Linked DNA regions of Drosophila melanogaster. The protein of the gene in region 3 interacts with the protein of the main gene of each other region in a pairwise test. Each region holds a gene or a part of one and is shown on either strand. Other genes may lie near its edges.

Evidence for each region.
Region 1: the proteins of Ahcy (region 3) and Mabi interact in a two-hybrid assay, tested with the Drosophila melanogaster proteins (one large-scale study listed by BioGRID).
Region 2: the proteins of Ahcy (region 3) and Tcs4 interact in a two-hybrid assay, tested with the Drosophila melanogaster proteins (one large-scale study listed by BioGRID).

What each region holds. Positions count from the first base shown.
Region 1 is NT_033779.5:13,232,397-13,237,991, forward strand, and holds Mabi (mabiki), read right to left. Parts: upstream 2,265-5,595; 5' UTR 2,200-2,264; coding exon 1,579-2,199; 3' UTR 1,402-1,578; downstream 1-1,401. Other genes in the region: Prosalpha6T (proteasome alpha6 subunit, Testis-specific), read left to right, coding at 1-581; Jhbp14 (juvenile hormone binding protein 14), read left to right, coding at 4,239-4,344. UniProt on the Drosophila melanogaster protein: Plays a role in inducing apoptosis and is involved in the repair of head patterning defects in the embryo caused by extra maternal copies of the homeotic gene bicoid.
Region 2 is NC_004354.4:19,699,844-19,706,039, forward strand, and holds the start of Tcs4 (Threonyl-carbamoyl synthesis 4), read right to left. Parts: upstream 1,913-6,196; 5' UTR 1,886-1,912; coding exon 1,701-1,885; intron 1,646-1,700; coding exon 601-1,645; 3' UTR 1-600. Other genes in the region: CG14232 (uncharacterized protein), read right to left, coding at 2,411-2,830, 2,890-3,354, 3,560-3,987, 4,046-4,175; CG14230 (uncharacterized protein), read left to right, coding at 4,568-4,745, 4,807-5,096, 5,163-6,196. UniProt on the Drosophila melanogaster protein: Required for the formation of a threonylcarbamoyl group on adenosine at position 37 (t(6)A37) in mitochondrial tRNAs that read codons beginning with adenine.
Region 3 is NC_004354.4:15,446,874-15,453,069, forward strand, and holds the start of Ahcy (adenosylhomocysteinase), read left to right. Parts: upstream 1-3,387; 5' UTR 3,388-3,517; coding exon 3,518-3,542; intron 3,543-3,793; coding exon 3,794-3,984; intron 3,985-4,521; coding exon 4,522-5,604; 3' UTR 5,605-6,196. Other genes in the region: scamp, read right to left, coding at 549-957, 1,022-1,151, 1,506-1,707, 2,408-2,635, 2,832-2,894. UniProt on the Drosophila melanogaster protein: Adenosylhomocysteine is a competitive inhibitor of S-adenosyl-L-methionine-dependent methyl transferase reactions; therefore adenosylhomocysteinase may play a key role in the control of methylations via regulation of the intracellular concentration of adenosylhomocysteine.

The DNA.
Region 1 (5,595 bases), on a different chromosome or scaffold from region 3:
ACTCCTATAACGCAGAATTTCCGGTTCGCCGTTTGGTTTCCAATCTGGGTAACAAGCTGCAGACCACCACCCAGCGCTATGATCGTCGTCCCTACGGTGTGGGCTTGCTGGTGGCTGGATACGATGAGCAGGGACCACATATCTACCAGGTGATGCCCACGGCCAATGTGCTCAACTGCAAGGCAATGGCCATTGGATCTCGTTCGCAGAGTGCTCGCACATATCTGGAGCGAAATATGGAGAGTTTCGAGGACTGCGACATGGATGAACTGATATGTCATGCCATTCAGGCCATTCGAGGATCGTTGGGTTCCGATGATGTCGAGAATCTCACCATAAATGTGGCCATTGTGGGCAAGGATGTGCCGTTTAAAATGTTTACGGAAGCCGAGAACCAGAAGTATGTGAAATTGGTCAAGGCTATGGATCCACCTCTGGAGGCGGACCACGATCCTCTATCCGAGGAGGGAATGAGCGATGATGACATGACGGACCACGGACCGAGTAGCAGTGGAGTTCCACCCAATGATACATCTGACATGGAAACCACTGCATCCACCGGCGGCAGTGACGCACATTGATCTAATCTGTGATTAGAAACCCTGACAGAGTATACTAAATTTATTGTTTCGTTAATAATGTTATTAAAGTTTATAGTTATTATGTTGTATGGCTGCTTCGTTTTTGTCAAAGAAAAAAACAAGAAACGGTTAGCAAGGAAATTGAATTCTGAATTAGTTTTAATAGCATGTATAGCATATATATTCATCTTATGGAACCTAATCGGATTAAAATAATGGAAACACTATAGCACTTGCCATTCCTATTAATACGTTGAAATTTTCCACAGGGATTAGGGGTTATGCAAATGAAAGCCTTTAGCGTGACCAATTCGATTACAATGTATTTGAAAATATCGTAGCTACTAATAGCTAAAGTGTTTAGTTTAACTTTAAGTGCGACAATGACAGCTGAGCGATGGACGGGAATAGGAGTAGTTATTATTTAAGCCCACATTCCCGTAGCTGCGGTTTCAATCGGTTTACGGCTCTATTGCCAGTGGTTTGACCAGGGTGCAGGGTTAATACCCAGTGAACTTTATCCGACTGGCTTGATATTCTCCATGGGGGGAGGCAATAGTCGATGGGGTCACCAATAACGATTTGCTCCAGGGGCTGATGATTGCCTGTGACACCACGCGAACTACCCCTGGGGATTAATTGGGATTTATTTCGATGGCTCCACGCTTTATTATATTTTATTAAATTTATTTATATATATTTTTAATATATTCATTGCTTCATTAGCGCTTGATTACTTTTTCTGCCAATGTCATAAATTAATATTTATACCATTTTTAGAAGGAAGATTAAAAGTCAAGCACACGATAAAAAATCAATTAGCCGTAAAAATTAAATCCTCATATTTTATTTATTAAGAAGTTCCTGCTTAACCTTTTAAGGCATTTATACTAAATATATACTAAATTTCTTAGCACTAAAAGTTCTTGAAGAAACTTAACAACTTAGCATTAATATAATAACTATATAATACAATCCTAAAAGGAGATGGACGTATCTAAGCATGCTCCTGTTTAATACCACCTATCAGGTAGTCGATGCTAAAGTTACTCTTGGTATTCTCCTCCGGAACTCTCCTTGAGGATACTAGCGGGTGGTCTTCCTGCTTGACCAGCTGCTTCAGATGATTCAAATAGACCCTGGCACGCAGACTCTGTTCGGCGATCTTGAGGTGCTCATCGGAGCACTCCTTGTACTGCTGTTCGATCTGCAGGTCATCGAACTTCTTCTTCCGTCGACTCATCCTGCAGGCAATTGTGTTCTTGTTGCGGCGCTCCTGATCCTTCGGTGAACGCTCCTTCTTCGGGAATTTTCGCACCATATTGACGTGGTACTTGAAGATGTCTTGGATGGCCTCGGTTATGATGGGGCTGGCGGATTGGTAGGAAACGCTTGAGGATGAGGATCCCAAACGACGACGCTTTGGCAGTGGAGGAAAGTCAGCATCCTGATCACTGAAACCCAAGCTGACGGACTGATTTGCCGCATCGAAAGGACTCCGACTGGTGCAGGGTGTGCCGCTCCGGGAGATTAGCTCTTCCTTCAGCTGCAAATCGCATTTCTCAATCTTTCGACCCATGTCGAACTTTTTGTGGCGATAGATCTGATGGTGCTCCATTGTATGGTATGATATGCTATGGTTATGCTATGTGTGTTCTACTCGAAGACTCTCGATTGAATGCTGTCCTGTGGATTGGTACACTAGCTTATATGGCGAAAGCCTTATCTGCCGCTCTTCGTAATCCCCCCACAACTTTTATAACTTTGTTTACACAAATCGACGACGAATTTTCTTTTTGCAAAACGAAAACAAGATCATAAACCCGCTCGATTTGCCTGCGCACGCGTACATGCCACCCAATCCCATACCCAAACCCAAACCCAAAACCCAACCCATCCCACTTACCTACTTGTAAGCCCACCCGTTGGGCATCCCTATCTACTGGTCATGTTTATTCTTGCGTGCGTTCAGCTGGGATCTTTTGAATTTCAGATACAATACAATCCGAGTTTTTCCGGATCAGTAGGTGGCGAAATGCGCGCCCATCGATTGTCTGGGTTCATTCAATTCGTGTTTGTTCCTCTTTCAAATCTATTATCTGCTGTGTTTTTCAATGTCGCCGCCTTTTGTAAAAGTCATATATATATATACATATATGGATTTTGGGCTACTCTTGTTCAATTGGCCTCTATTCGAAAAGTGTTTTGCGGCCTCATTTGTCCAACTCCCTTTGTATCCTGCTGTTGATAAGGTGTGTGTGGCACTGATCTTTTGTTTTCCGTTTGTTTCCCTTTTTTTAGATATCACTTCTTGGAACTCGGAGTGCCATTTCTGGGTTTGCAGTTTAATGCCGAAGATGACGATAAGATGACGTCTATTTGGGGTTGCAAAAGGGCACATTCCTGTAGACAGTCTGCGTCTGCTGATAACGTGCGTTTATCTCTTTTGTGCCAGGTCACTTGATAAATCGTTGTAAACTCAGCGCATCTTAAAACGATCCTAAAAAAAAAAGTATTCGAAAATTGGCCTGCGTAAAATAACCTACTTATTTGTTTGTTAAGAACTGAGGTTTTCCGAATTAGTATAAAGATTTGTTGTACGCGTATGACTCATTTCCAACCTTTTAAGCTTTGACAAAATCGACGTACGTTGCCTACTAGACACACGTGACTAAATAATCACTAATCAAGCACTTTAAAAATTGCCGTAAGGTGCAAAAAGCAGAATTAGCATTAGAGCTGTTAGCACGGCCACGCTTGACACCAATTGTTTGATTTATACTTTCATTACTACTTACTAGTAGAAACAGAAATAGGCAGTAAAAGGTTCTGCCTTTTCATTTTGAGGGTATACACAGATGTATATTTTACTAGGCCACAAAATTGCAGTAAGTTAAATAAAGCCTCAGTTAAATGCATTAGCATTAGCATGGAAGTACAGGAAGAATAGTTTCAAGCTCTAAAAATTGAAACAGTGATCTTAAGCCCAAGTCCCCGAGACATTTAATAAGGTGGTACGTTTTAATTAGCCGCCTGGGACCAAGATCTCCAGCACCATCTCCATCACCAAGTCGAGGAAGCATCCAAAGCGAGTCGGATCACTTGGGACAGCTGCCGGTAGTTGGTAGGCGGTTATGTGATGAGTATGTCGGGTCGCACTGGGGTCGCGATAAGTCAAATCGGATGGCTGGGTGGCTTCCACTTCACGACTTTACGGGGGAATTTAATAATGTCGTTTGTATTTCGCTACTGTCTACTGTCTACTGTCTATTGACTTTTGCATTTGCTTTGTTTTCTACAGCTGCGACGGCGATTAGTTTCAAGCTATTTTTGTTATCCACCCACCACCCACCGCCCACCGCTCCGCCCACAAATCCCTATTATTTGCTAATGCCGAGCATCTGTGTTTGTGCCTTTTTTTATTTTTTTTATTTTACGTTTGTCTTTGCAATTTCGATTTGATTGGATTTGTTTTGTTTTCTTCCCATAAATAAGAGCCCGCCACCCATCGCAGCTCTCAGACGTTGATTCGCATTTGCATCGGTCAGGTTGGGCTATCCAACGGATGTGGAATAACTTCACCTAACGAGGAAGTCAATTAAAAAAAACATCATTCAATCTAAACGTATCAAATTAAATATTAAACAATCTATCGAAATGGGTCGTATCTTTGGCGTAGTTGCTCTAATTCTGATGGCCGGCTTATGTTTGGCAGCGGAAATAGAATTGCCACCAGTTGAGTTCAAGCCGGTTCGAGAAATACGTGAGTGTCATTATACATATGTGAAAAATCAAACCCTATATTAAAATTAAGAAATAAGAACAACAGAAACAATTCTTGGGAAGTGCAAACTTAGTGCATTTAAACAAAATAAATGTTAAAGCAAAATAGAATATTAATACATTTATTCTAAAATCTTATTTTAAAAATACAATTTCTTTGGATACTGCAAAAATTGCGGAGATTGGCTTTGTCGTTTTTAATATTAATTTGATACGGCCATTTAAAATTAAAAGGTAATCTCTAAATTTCTATAAAAAATTTATAATTTCAAGCGTTGTTTCAAACAATTTTAAAAAGTACAAATTGTTAATGCGACACTTTAGTATACTCTGACGATAGCAAGTCGTTCAATTTGTGATATTATCAGTTAAATAGAAAATTCGAACATACAAAATTGACTTCGTGATAGCAATAATCATGTGAAGCACGCAACTTTGTGTGAATTTTATAACAAAGCAATTCAACCGTCTGACAGTCAAAGTTTAAGCCCAGATTAACTTAAAACAATAGAATTGCACAACATTAGATACATTGCAATATATTGCATACCATTAACGAAAATCCTCTTATATTTTATTGATAATAAAGTATTTAATATATTGGCTGAACTTTTTAGGGATTTTTAATTGTTCATGAAGCCCGTTTTGTAAAACTCAACATGTAAATGAGATAGATAAGATTGAAATTTGTATTCTTCACATCGCAACAGAATAATAAACAGAAGTTTATATAGAAAAGAATTTGCTAAAAAACATACTTGAAAAATTATTATTTATAATTAAATATAATATTTAAAAACATATACACCTAAGTAAATATAAATTATGTCAAAGTAAAACGTGATGTCCTTGAGCTTTAATTCACTATTAAGACACTATGTTACAAATTCAATTATAATTATCTAAATATAGTTCTTTGGCATACGCAGACAGACCATGACAAACACAAAATGTAGATTGTCATGTTCATATATATATAAAGGTATTGTCTTCAAACAGTTTTGGCCAAAAATAAACACACAGTCATTTAAATTACCTCATTGTCCAGGCCACAATTGCAAATGTTTTTTTATACGATATTCGCCGACCGAGTCACTTGCTGTTGTAGATATAAATATAGCTTTTTTATGGTAGAAGTTAAAAATATATGACAAGTTCGCCGCTTAAGTCTTTTTTTGCCGGACATGTCACTTCCGCCGGTAAGGTAGACTTCTCCCAAGGTAGACCAATA
Region 2 (6,196 bases), 4.3 Mb from region 3:
ACACATTATCAATTTTTACATTTTTTTTCTAGACCTTAGTGATTTAACATTATTGATTTCAGATAATATCTTATAATAAAACGAAATCCAAAACGAAACCACTCACTGTCTTGCCTGAAATGAAAAAAAAAAAGGGAACATCCCACCAAAGATGCACAAGCGAAAATGTACTTTTTATATGTATAAAATTACATAAATTCAATGCAATTGTGATTTTTATATAGCATTTGTGATTCATTTGTGGTTGTTTATTTCTATATCGATTCGCGTGATAAAGACCTGTCGTCATATCAGTTATTACGTTCCTGGAAAAGTGGCCAACAGGTGGAGGCAAAGCTTTTCCATTACTATAAACTATATTTTGATTATCTGGCCATGTCCTATTGTTCGTCAGCATAAACGTCGAGATCTCGGAAGCCACCAGAGCTAGCAAGGTGGCTCTTAGCAAGTAGGAACTCTGCAGCGCCAAAGAACTCACACACTCAAAAATATTATGAATATATTATTAATTTGTAAATCAGACAAACAGGATTCAACAACGAACAAGGATTCATCTGTAACTTTATGTAAGAATGTATAAAACACAACAGGGGCTAGTGATCAAACCAGTGGCTGTATCCACTTGCATTTTATGGCCGCCGCAGCGACAGCTTCCTCGTGCGACTCGGCGAATCCCGCGCTGCCCTGGATATCAATGCTGTCGTAGTCGTAGCGCGTGCTGGCCTCTTTATCCTGCAGCAGTTGCTCAACGCCGTGCCAGGCGATCATGACGCCGTTGTCGGAGCAGTACCGCTTCGATGGACGGAAGCTCCTGCAGCCATACTGCGCGGCCAGATGTTCGATGTTGGCGTATATGGCATCGTTGTTGGCCACACCGCCGGACATGACCAGTGTGGGCGGGGTGTCACCGAAGAGCTGCCTGTGCGGCAGGAGGCAGTACTCAATTGCCCGCTGCGTGCGGTGCATCAGGTGCCGGCTGACAGAGCGCAGCAGGCCGGCGCAGAAGTCGCCGTAGTTGCTGATGACTCCGTCCGGAGGTGTCCGCTCTGCCCGCTCGCGCGCTCGGATGGCCCGGAAGGAGTTGTTCTTGATGCCGGCGAAGCTGAAGTTGCAGTTCCGCTGCTGGGCAAGTGGCAGCGGAAACTCGTAGGCCAGCGGATCGCTGGCCAGCTGGGCGGCATGCTCAATGGCCCGTCCTCCGTTCCACAAGCGGTACTCCGGCAGAATGTGCAGGCGTAGTCGCCGACCGATCTTGTCAAAGGCCTCGCCGGGCGCATCATCCAGTGTTTGGCCAAGAAGCGTAAGGCGACCGGGGCCGTTAGCCACCACCAACTGACAGTGGCCGCCGCTGGCCAGCAAGCAGAGGAAGGGGTAGCCGATCTGCTCCGGATGTTCCATGCGGGCCTGCAGCGCGTGCGCCTCCATGTGGTGAACGGGCAGCAGGGGCTTCTGCAGGCGACGGGCCAGGTGCCGTGCAAAGCGCACGCCCACCAGCAAACTCAGCGGCAGTCCGGGACGCGTGGTCACCGCGATGGCCGTCAGTTGGTCCGGCTTCAATTGCGCCGCCTCCATGCAGCGCTGGTAGGCGGACTCGATGCGGGCGCGGTGAAGGTCCTGGGCCCTGGGCGGAATAATGCCTCCATAGCTGCAATCGATTCAGTTCATCATTGGGCACCGCATGCGGAGATGTGAGCACTCACCGGGTGTGGAACTCCTGTTGCGACTCCAGCACATTGGCAATCACTCGGCCCGTGGTGTCCACGATGGCGATGCCCGTGTCGTCGCAGGAGGTCTCGATGCCCAGGACATAGCTGAGCCGGCGCCTGATCCCACAGCCAAATACATTTGCTATTCCATTGCCGGCAAAATTACGAAGTGCATGCATAATGGCCAGTGTGACCAGGCACCGATAGAAACCACAACCAGCAAATCGTGGGACCGTTAGTGTTAGGGCCCCTTACACGAGCCAAATTCTTAACTATACTTTAATGCAATTTTTATTTAATATAAAATAATAATAATAGTTGTTTCAATGCCCAAAATTGGTAATAGCAATTGTGTCGTATGAAGAAGTTTCCTAAGTGAATTTTACGAATAATTTATTCTTCATTAAGAAGCAAAGAGATTTCGAAAAGTGATTATTTACAGTTGTCTTTATATTGTTTATTAGTTTCAAATTGAATTTTGGACTTGTCTTCGTCGGTTACAACTAAATAATAAATAATATTGGTTTAGTCTGAAATCGGCATGGTCTTTTCCCGCCGCTTGTTTCCCGGAATTGCAGCAACGCACACGTAAAACCAAAACCTCACGCACACGCACATACAGATTATTCCGGACTTGCACATTAGCCGTTCGTACGGAGATAGGATTCATCTAAGTTAGTGGTAAGTAAATACATTTTGGCCTCTTAACGCTCGTAGTAGACGCGGTAGTACAGCGTCTTATTGCGCCAGATGCTGTAGCTGTTGTCGAACTTCAGCAAATAGACGCCCTCGCCCGGATAGGAGTGGGAGCCCACGTAGACCTCGTTGTAGCACTCCCGTCGATAGATCGGTACGATAATGGAAATGGGTGCCTTGGGGGCAGCAGTCGGGTTGTTAACTGCGCCGCGCTCCTGCGACAGCGAGCCGGACTCCAGGTCCTCGGTGGTGGATAGGTAGTCCTCGTCCACGCAATCCTCGTCCTCGTCGGAGTCGCTCACATGCACGGTCACCTCGTTGGTCACGGGCTTGGCCCACTCGAAGTAGATGCCGAAGCCGATGTCGTAGCTGTCCGTGGCGAACTCCCAGAAGATGCACTTGCCGTTCATGTTGGTGGGCACACGGACCTGCAAAATTGTGCCGGTCAATATGGGCCTTGTTTCGTCATTAGTTGATTGCCACCTACCGTCACCGTGTCGCCGTGTCCAATGGTGATGACGCCGTCCCCATCGCCGGCGGACACCTCAGTCTTAAACTGCTCGATGTCGGGACGAGTCCAGATCTTGGCCGGGCAGATCATAACGTAGTCGTCGTACTCTTCCTCGCCGTGCTGTTCCTGCCCAACGCCCTCCAACGTCTGCTCTACATGCCCGTCTTGCTGCTCGGCCAGCTGCTGGTGCTGCTGTGTCTCGACCTCACCGAGCTTCAGTCCCTCCATGGCGTTGGGCAAGTCGGTTGAGCTGTTGTTGTTATTGCCAGGGACGTGTTCTGCTTCCTGGTGTCCCTTGTCCTCCGTGTTCTGATTCTGATTCTGGTTCTGGTTCTGCAGATGAAGCTGTTGCATGTACTGGTGATAGTGCTCCCGCTGCAGCTGGTGGATAAGCACGGCCTGCTGTTCGGGGTTTCCGGGGAACTGCTTCTCAGCGTACAGCTGTGGAACGAGTGTAAGCGTTAGAAGGGCCAAGTTAATGGTACAGGAGCTGGCATGCAATTGCCTGAGAACTGGGTCATGACCCCTTTTCAATGGCAGACAGCGCAGCCAAGGCCGAGCACCCAGTAATTATCATGCATTATTTAGCACAACAACAGGTGCAGAGGGCCGGGCCGGTGTGTTGTTGAAAAAATCGATGGGCTACCTTAAACTGCTGGTAAGTCTGCTTGTTGAGTGCGTCCTGCAGCTGGCGGCGCTGCAGCTCCTCCTTGTAACCCTCCTCGAGCAGCTCCTGCTGGGCGTTCTCCTGCCGCTCGCGTGCCTCCTTCTTCTCCTCCATGAGGCGCAGCTCCTTGCGCAGCGTCTCGTCGCGGTCCTGCCGCACGGCCTCAATGTACGGCCGAAAGGCGCTGCACATTGTGTCCAGCAGGTCGACGAACCCCTCCATCGCCTGCTCGCGCGTTATCTCACCGAGCAGCTGCCAGTGCTGCTGCCGGTCGCGTCCGATCACGTCCAGGACGCCCAGCGCCGGGGCGCGACTCGTGTTGAAGGGGCCCAGCGCCGCCTGCTGCTTGAAGGCGATCAGCTTGAGGTTGTCCTCGTACGACAAGTGGATGGCCTTGCCGGAGTTCCCTGCAATATGTGAGATTAGCCGTTATTGGTGCGCTAGTGCCGGGATCTCTGCTCTTACGCTTGTAGAACGTGAATGCCAGGCGGTAGAGCTCAATCAAAGGGAAGCCCCACTTCTCGGCCGATGATGGTGCCATGTCCGTCGACTGGGCCGTTTCACTGCTGCTTGTGCCGCTTGTCCCGCTCGCCATGCTGCCGTTGTTTGTGGGCTAGTCCACGATTGCTGGCCTGCAAACTTTTCGCACAAAACAAAACAAAATAATAGAATTTATTGTGACGTCTGCTGCCAGTGTGACCAGCCAGCTGCGCACCTAAAGTAATTGTATTGCTCGCCTTGCAACACTGACCGATGGGGATTATTTTTGTCTAACTTAATGTATTTGCCTATTTACAAAGTTGCTAAATAAATTTGAAAGCTGGTTTAGTGTTGCTTGGACTTGTTAAAAACCTGTATAAAGCAATTGGGAATTGGAATTGTGGCTATATTTAAGTGTAAGTTTTTATCTGCCCGCGGTCACACTGGCCCACAGCAATTCTTGCCGGGATTTGGATTCTACACGTGCATTGCAAGCGTAAACATAATATGGGCAGCACTCGGTTCTTCCTGGCGGATCTGCCGACCAGGACCTCGGAGTCGGACCTGCAGATCCTGTTCCAGGACTACGGTCACGTAGAGCACGTGGATCTGAAGCGCAAGGAGCAGGATGGGGCCACTAAGGTGATTGCCTTCGTCACCGTGCAGACGGATGATGCCCAGTACTGTAAGTTATCCGCGGAAGATCACAGCCAGACGGAAGGAGTAACCATAGCTTGGTTTTGTAGGCGTCAACGAGCTCAAATGGCAGAAGTTGCACGGCGAAAAGCTAAGAGTTTCTCTTGCCAAAGAATCGTTTTTGGATCGACTGAAGCGCGAACGCGAAGAGAACCAGCGCCGGGAACAGGGCGAGCCAGACGAGTCCGAGGTGCGTGCGCCGAGCTCTCAGCTCCTGGTGCAAAGTGGCCAAAACAAGCGCAGGGTATTCGGAGAGGATGAGGAGATTGGTGATGATGAGGTCGCTCCAGAGCTGCTGATTACCAAGAAGCGCGCCGCCAATTCCATGCACAATGGCCGGGTATGCACGCACTCATTGTTCCCAAGCTCATTGTCAGCTAAATTCCTTTCCTTTCCTTTCCCACAGATTGTCATCCAGCAGGAGCACGACGTGAAGCCACTCCATGTCATCGAACAGCACCGCAAGGCAGCCAAACAGAAGCCGGACGCCAATGTCAGCCAGGCGGAACAGAAGCGCAAGGAGTCGCTCAACAAGATGCGTCAGGGACACCAACAAAAGAAGTCAGCCATCCAGCAGGCGCTATCTGTGATATCAGTCGAAGGCAGTCAGGCAAAGAGAATAAAATTCAGCGACGCCGAGGAGGAGGAGGCGTCCAAGCCCGTCCAGAAAGCCAAGATACAAAAGCGGGATCTGTTCGAGAACGACGACGATGAGGAAGAGGAGCAGATCGTCCTGCCGCAGCATAAGGGCAAGAAGGGCGAGCGTCTGGTGGAGATGCAGAGCAAACAGAGTATAGATCCCCGCTTCCGCATCACATCGAACTTTGTGAACGAGGAGGAAGAGGCGGAGCTGGAGGATCAGCCTGAGCCGGAGGAGAGTGAGCGCAAATGGCACATGAACATTCTGGAGCAGGTTGTGGGACACGCGATCACCAGTGCGAACGATAAGGACGGTAAGTCGCCAAAGAACAAAAAGATGCTGCGCTTCGATCCGGCCAAGGAGGGCCATCAGAAGCTAATGCGCCAAAAGCAGCCCAAGGAGGAGGAGGAGAAGAAGGAGGAGACTTCCAGTACGAAAGCCAAGACCGCCGACGCGGGCAACAGTCAAGCTTCAGCCGTCTCGAAGACGGCCTTTTACATTGTCACCGACACGTTGAGGGATTCGCTGAACACGCGTGGAGAGGGTTTCAGCCTGCTGGACATGTTCGGCAGTGCACCGGAGAAGGAGGTGGCCAAGCGCCAGGACCAGTTGGAGAAGCTGGGCCATGAGAAGATCCTGGTGGGCAAGACGTCTGCCAATAAGCTCGGACTGGCCACTCTCAATCCGTTCTCCTACGACTCGTCCGACAGCGAAGACGAAACCGAAGTAAAGCCGAAGCAAGAGCAGGAGCAGGAGCAGGAGCTTGAGGTCAGCAAGGAGAACAAGGCCCAGCCAGCGAA
Region 3 (6,196 bases):
GACAGACACACAATAATTTAGTCTAGATACTTGTATTTGGAGGCATATATCGTGCGATTAAGATGTCCTGTCTACTTGATCCGCTGCAGCTGCGTGTCGAAGGCATCGTGGGCCGCTTTAGTTTTCCTTTTGTTTTTTTGTTTTCTCCTTTTTGTTTGGTTTTTTTTTCACTTTCAGTTTAGTTCCAAGTTCGGTTTTGTTCCGTTTATAAATATTGTTTATGCATTGTGTGTTGTTTCTGTGTTATCATTACAGTAATTATTTGTAATAAAGACGACGGCATTCTAGGAATTGTTTATGCACAAAAGCAAATAGTTATTAGTTCCATGCTCCAATGCTAGCTTTAGTTTCATGTTTTTCTTTACTTTCATTTCGTGTTAAGCTATTTCAATGTTTATTAAGTGTTCTTTCTCCATCTCCCTCTCTCTGGCGCGGCTATCATCATCTTTTTCTGTCCCAGTTAAGCAGGATGAGTGCTGCTTGAGTTCGTGGTTGATTGATTGATTCTCCTTTTGATTTGATTAGATCCCCGGAAAGCAGAGTGTCACTTAGTACCTGCTGTTGTTAAACTGCGAATTGATGGCCGTATTAACGGCCGAGGAGGCTGCTTCCTGGACGTGCTGGTTGCGCAGAAACTCGGTGGTGAACTCCGCCTGGGCCTTGGCCATACTGGCCCCTGTGCTGCGGTAGATCGAGTGAATCTTTGTGATCATCAGCACATTGGCCACGGCCACCGCTGTGAAACAGAATGCCACGTTCAACAGCAGAATGCCGACGATAATACCCGACGCTTGCCCATCGAACTGCCCGATGGCCGTAATAAAGCCACAGTAGCCCATCTTGTTGAAGCCCACCGCCTGCACAATCGAGTACAGCGTTTGAAAGAAGTAGATGAAGAAGAAGACCATGAAGTTGAAGCTCGAATCGTTGCGGAATGCCTTGTACGCCGGTCGGAACCTGAAAATTAATCACACATCATCACATTATTCATGTTTTAAGAATCTTCCAGGTATAAACTCACCAGCAGACATAGGAGGCGGGCGAGAAGAGCATCGTGTAGAAGATGGCCAGGAAGAAGGTCTCGAATTCGCCAGCGTGGAACAGCAAAATTAGACCGCCTATCACGTTGGCCAACAACGTCATGGTGTAAACTGTCGGAGAAAGTATTCAAAATAGACACATACAATCAGCATAATGCTATAATCTGTAGGGGAAAGCATTATTATATACTATATACTATGCATGCAGTAAATAATGCTAGAAATGCATTTAAAAACTATCTTAATACTGATAACATGTAAATCAAACAAATTTCATGCTCCCCTCTTTGCAAGCATATTCTGCACAAAGGCACGCACACATCCAAGACCATTAGCCATTCAGCTATATCTGATTAATAATGGCATCGGCCTGTAGACGACACGCGATGACTAATTCCACAACCTATGGCACCGCTTATCAGCGAAAACATGTAGAAAACACAGCCATAAAGAACCAATACTCACAAATCCAAATGTAATACAATCGCTTGACCAGTTTCTGGAACTCGGGCGGTATCTCCACCTCGAAGTCCTGGTAGAAGCACGGCTTTACACAAAAGTTATCCGGCAGCGGTGGCCAGTTGTTCAGCTGCGGCACATTGCCCTGTAGCTGCTGCTCGCGGCGGTCCAGTTCGGCGGCCTTGCGGTCCAACTCCTCCTGCCGGCGCTGGATACAATGAAAATCATATGATTATCGACTGTTTTATATATACATTTTGTATGACTTAATAAATTGGCCGTATATGGTAAATACTTTAAATCTTATTCATTTACATATTTGGGAAAACAAAGGCGAAATTCAATGATAGGAATTCACATCCAAATCTTGAGTTTGTTAAACTTCTATCTTAACCTCAGGCATTTGGCCTATCTATAGGAAATATTCTGTACAAGAATAAAGTGCAAACTTAAGCCTCCAAATCATATGTATTTAGATCTACTAACTAGTATTTCTTGAATTATTGTGTAGGGCCGAAGAAGCCAAGTAAATCAAGAGAAACCGCAGTTTGCACAGTGAAGACTCGGCGCGGCAGCCGCTTCTAGTCTCAACCAGATAAATGCTCCAAAGCGGATATATCGTTGGCAGATCGAGATAAGCCCGCTTATCTTTCTGACTCTTGATGGAGAGTAAAATGTGATATGCCTGCCCTAATCCCGGCACTCTAGCAAAGTGATTACTGTACAGACTTTTAGGGCAAACTTTTAGTGTAACTGTGTGGTGTGGTCCATTTCGATTGTTTCCGAGTATTTGGATGTACATATGCGGTTTTTGGAGTATTGCGGATGTGGCCATGCCGGCACAGCACACCGCAGAGTGCTCACTGTTGTGTGGGCGGTAACGCGAGACGACCGGCCAAGTGGGTTACCTGCAGCTCCTCCGAGGTGATCTGTATGCTGGTGCTAGGCGCCGAGGCGCCCAGGGAACTGGTCTGCGGGGGCGGAATGTTCTGCGATAGCGGCTGGACCACCGCCGCCGTGTTCGTTGAGTTGATCTGCAGCTGCGGCTTGGCCTGCTCCTCGAATGGATTGTAATCCTCAAGAGAGACAAGGGCGGCGCCGCTCTGGAGTCGTCGTGCCTGCTGGATGGCGGGGTCCTGCGGGGGAAAACCGGGAAATCCCAATCAGAAACCAATTCATTCAACATATGTGACGAATGCACCCAACACACACACACACTACACTCACAGGCACGCACACCAACACCCCACCTTTGCGTACGTGTGCGTGTGTGTGCGATGGGTTTTTTCTTCGGCTTCCGCGCTCTCTCTCCTAGCTCTTCTATCGCCTCACCGCAAACGGATTGTCCAGATTGGGCTCCCCGAAGGGATTCTCGTCGAGACCGGAGCCGGACATGGGAATTCTACTTTGGATACGGCTGTTCAATGACCAGAAAAACGCACTGACTCGCACTTTGCTTTTCGCTGTGTATATTTTCCCTAAGACTCTGCTCAGTTATCGATGTCGGTTTTAGTGATGGTTCAGCATCGATAAGCTTTCGTTGGGAATCAAAGTGTAGGCCTCAAATATCGAAAGAATTACTTTAAAGAATTAATGTTATTTGAATTACATATTAAATTCATTTTGGCAGAAAAACTTATTATTTAACACATTTAACATTAATCTAGAATTCTGAAAAATGTGAATAACTGGTATACAATGGTCTGATTTTTTAGGACCTATTAATACATTTTATTAAAATGATAGCAAAAAGAAAAGATTCTATATACAATTGGATGTAAACCAGCAGTTATCATATGAATTTTAAATTTAAATGGCAACAATCGTGCCAATCGGAACTGCTCCAGCTGAACCAGCTGCGTGGAACCAGTTCCCATCCCTGGGGCCGCCATTCCGCAATTGGAATTCTAGTGTCTTGGGTTGCGATTCGATTCATTTACCGCTGCCCGCGTCTCCAATTCGGTTGTGTGCGATTCTGTCTGCTCCGCATCCAAGTCAAACATCCAATCCTTGCAAGAATGTCGAAGCCCAGCTACAAAGTCGGTGAGTTGCGTTATAAATAAACCCAAACGGATGGCAAACTCTCGAATCGAATCTCCGGCCGGCAACAGGCGACATGTGCGGGTGAATTGCATCTATTCATGAGCACATGTTTCTGAGGTTAAAAGAGAGACAAAACAGAGGAGAGCACGTTGTTGCTGGGGCAAAAAACGTAGAAATTCAGACCGTATGGTGTATAAATCAACAGTGCCTGCTTATCTGACCCTATCTCCCTTTTATATCCCACTCGACAGCCGATATCAGTCTGGCGGAATGGGGACGCAAGGCGATCATTATTGCGGAGAACGAGATGCCCGGTCTGATGGCCTGCAGGAAGAAGTACGGCCCATCTAAGCCCCTCAAGGGCGCCCGCATCACCGGCTGCCTGCACATGACCGTCCAGACCGCCGTGCTCATCGAGACCCTCGTCGAACTGGGCGCTCAGGTGGGTTCAGTGCCTCTTTGGCGCTCTAAATGATTTTATGCATCGTACCACCATTCGAATTGTATGCCCAACTGTAGGTCTGAACAGTCGGGATAATACACAAAGATAGCATCATTTCAATACTAAAAACCATTTCAAAAACCATAAAACCGACCAAAATTCCGTAAGGAAATTGTAAATTAGGTAGAAAGATAGGTATCTCCAAGCATTGTCCAAGGGCTGGTCCCTTATCACCTTTGGTTTACGCACCAATTTGAATAACAAAACTTTCGTTTAACAGCAGGGGGGCAAGTTCAAGGCGCCCAAGATAAGACCTCCAGATTGTTATTTCCTCTGACGCAGCACCATCTGCTTCAATCCTCGCACATGGCAACTATTTTCTGCCAAATGCTGATGTCCTGAAATACATAGATTTCCTGATATAGATCAATCCTATATGCAATGCAAATCAGTTTGCAAATATCTATATAATTTAGGTTCCTTCCCATCCACATCTCAACTTCAACGCATGAACTACATTTTCATTCTTTTATCCAGGTCCAATGGTCCAGCTGCAACATCTTCAGCACCCAGGATAATGCTGCCGCGGCCATCGCTGCCACCGGCGTGCCCGTGTACGCCTGGAAGGGTGAGACCGATGAGGAGTACATGTGGTGCATCGAGCAGACCTTGGTCTTCCCCGACGGCCAGCCCCTGAACATGATCCTGGACGATGGCGGCGATCTGACCAACCTGGTGCACGAAAAGTTCCCCCAGTATCTGAAAAACATCAAGGGCCTCAGCGAGGAGACGACCACCGGTGTCCACAACCTGTACAAGATGTTCAAGGAGGGTCGTCTTGGCGTACCGGCCATCAATGTCAACGATTCGGTGACCAAGAGCAAGTTTGACAATCTGTATGGCTGCCGCGAGTCGCTGATCGATGGCATCAAGCGGGCCACGGACGTCATGATCGCTGGAAAGGTCTGCTGCGTGGCCGGATACGGTGATGTGGGCAAGGGCTGTGCCCAGGCACTGAAAGGATTCGGTGGTCGGGTGATCGTCACCGAGGTCGATCCCATCAACGCCCTGCAGGCGGCGATGGAGGGCTATGAGGTTACCACCATGGAGGAGGCCAGCAAGGAGGCTTCCATCTTTGTGACCACCACCGGCTGCCGGGACATCATCACCAGCGTGCACTTGCAACAAATGCCCGACGATGCCATCGTGTGCAACATCGGCCACTTCGACATCGAGATCGACGTGGACTGGCTAAACGCCAATGCCAAAGAAAAGGTGAACGTGAAGCCCCAAGTAGATCGGTACACAATGCAGAGTGGCAAGCACATCATCCTGCTGGCCGAGGGTCGTCTGGTGAACCTGGGCTGTGCCCACGGCCATCCCAGCTTCGTGATGTCCAACTCCTTCACCAACCAGGTGCTCGCCCAGATCGAGCTGTGGACCAAGTCCGACAAGTACGCCGTCGGCGTGCATGTCCTGCCCAAGATCCTCGACGAAGAGGTGGCCAGTCTTCATCTGGAGAAGCTGGGCGTAAAGCTGACCAAACTGACGGAGAAGCAGGCCACCTACTTGGGCGTCTCGCAGACCGGTCCCTTCAAGCCCGACCATTACCGGTACTGAGCACCCGATTCGCCAACCGGTTCCACACCCGAATCCATAACCGAATCGGGACGCGGCGCCGGAGACGACGGACCCACACTAGTTATCTATTGTCTGCGCATTTCACTGTTCACCTAAGCAGCTCCAATAAAAACCCATCTCACGTACTCTCAGCGAGAGAAAACCCCACATAGCTCCAATGTTTTTTCTTTCCCCTCTAAATGGCGGAGCATATTGGTTTAGAATATTAGTTTTTGTACGGCATTAAGTTTATGGGTTTTATACAATTTATTAAGCTTACATATATTCATATTCATACATATATTCATAATACTAATAATGTTTTCGAAATCGTGAAAATGCTTTGTCATTATTTGTAAAGACGCTCAAAAACATCTCCTTTTATTTTGAAGCACGTGTTGACTATCAAAAACATACGATGTGTGAAAGCAATCTGATTGTTGAATTACAACTTGAAAAAAACAGTGACTCAACAAATTAGGATTTCTTTAAATAAATAAGATCAAGGGCAAAACGAAACATCTGGAAGAAAGTCAAAATTCATTATCTACCAAAAGTTTTGGTCCAAAACACAAATATGTAAGCAAATTCT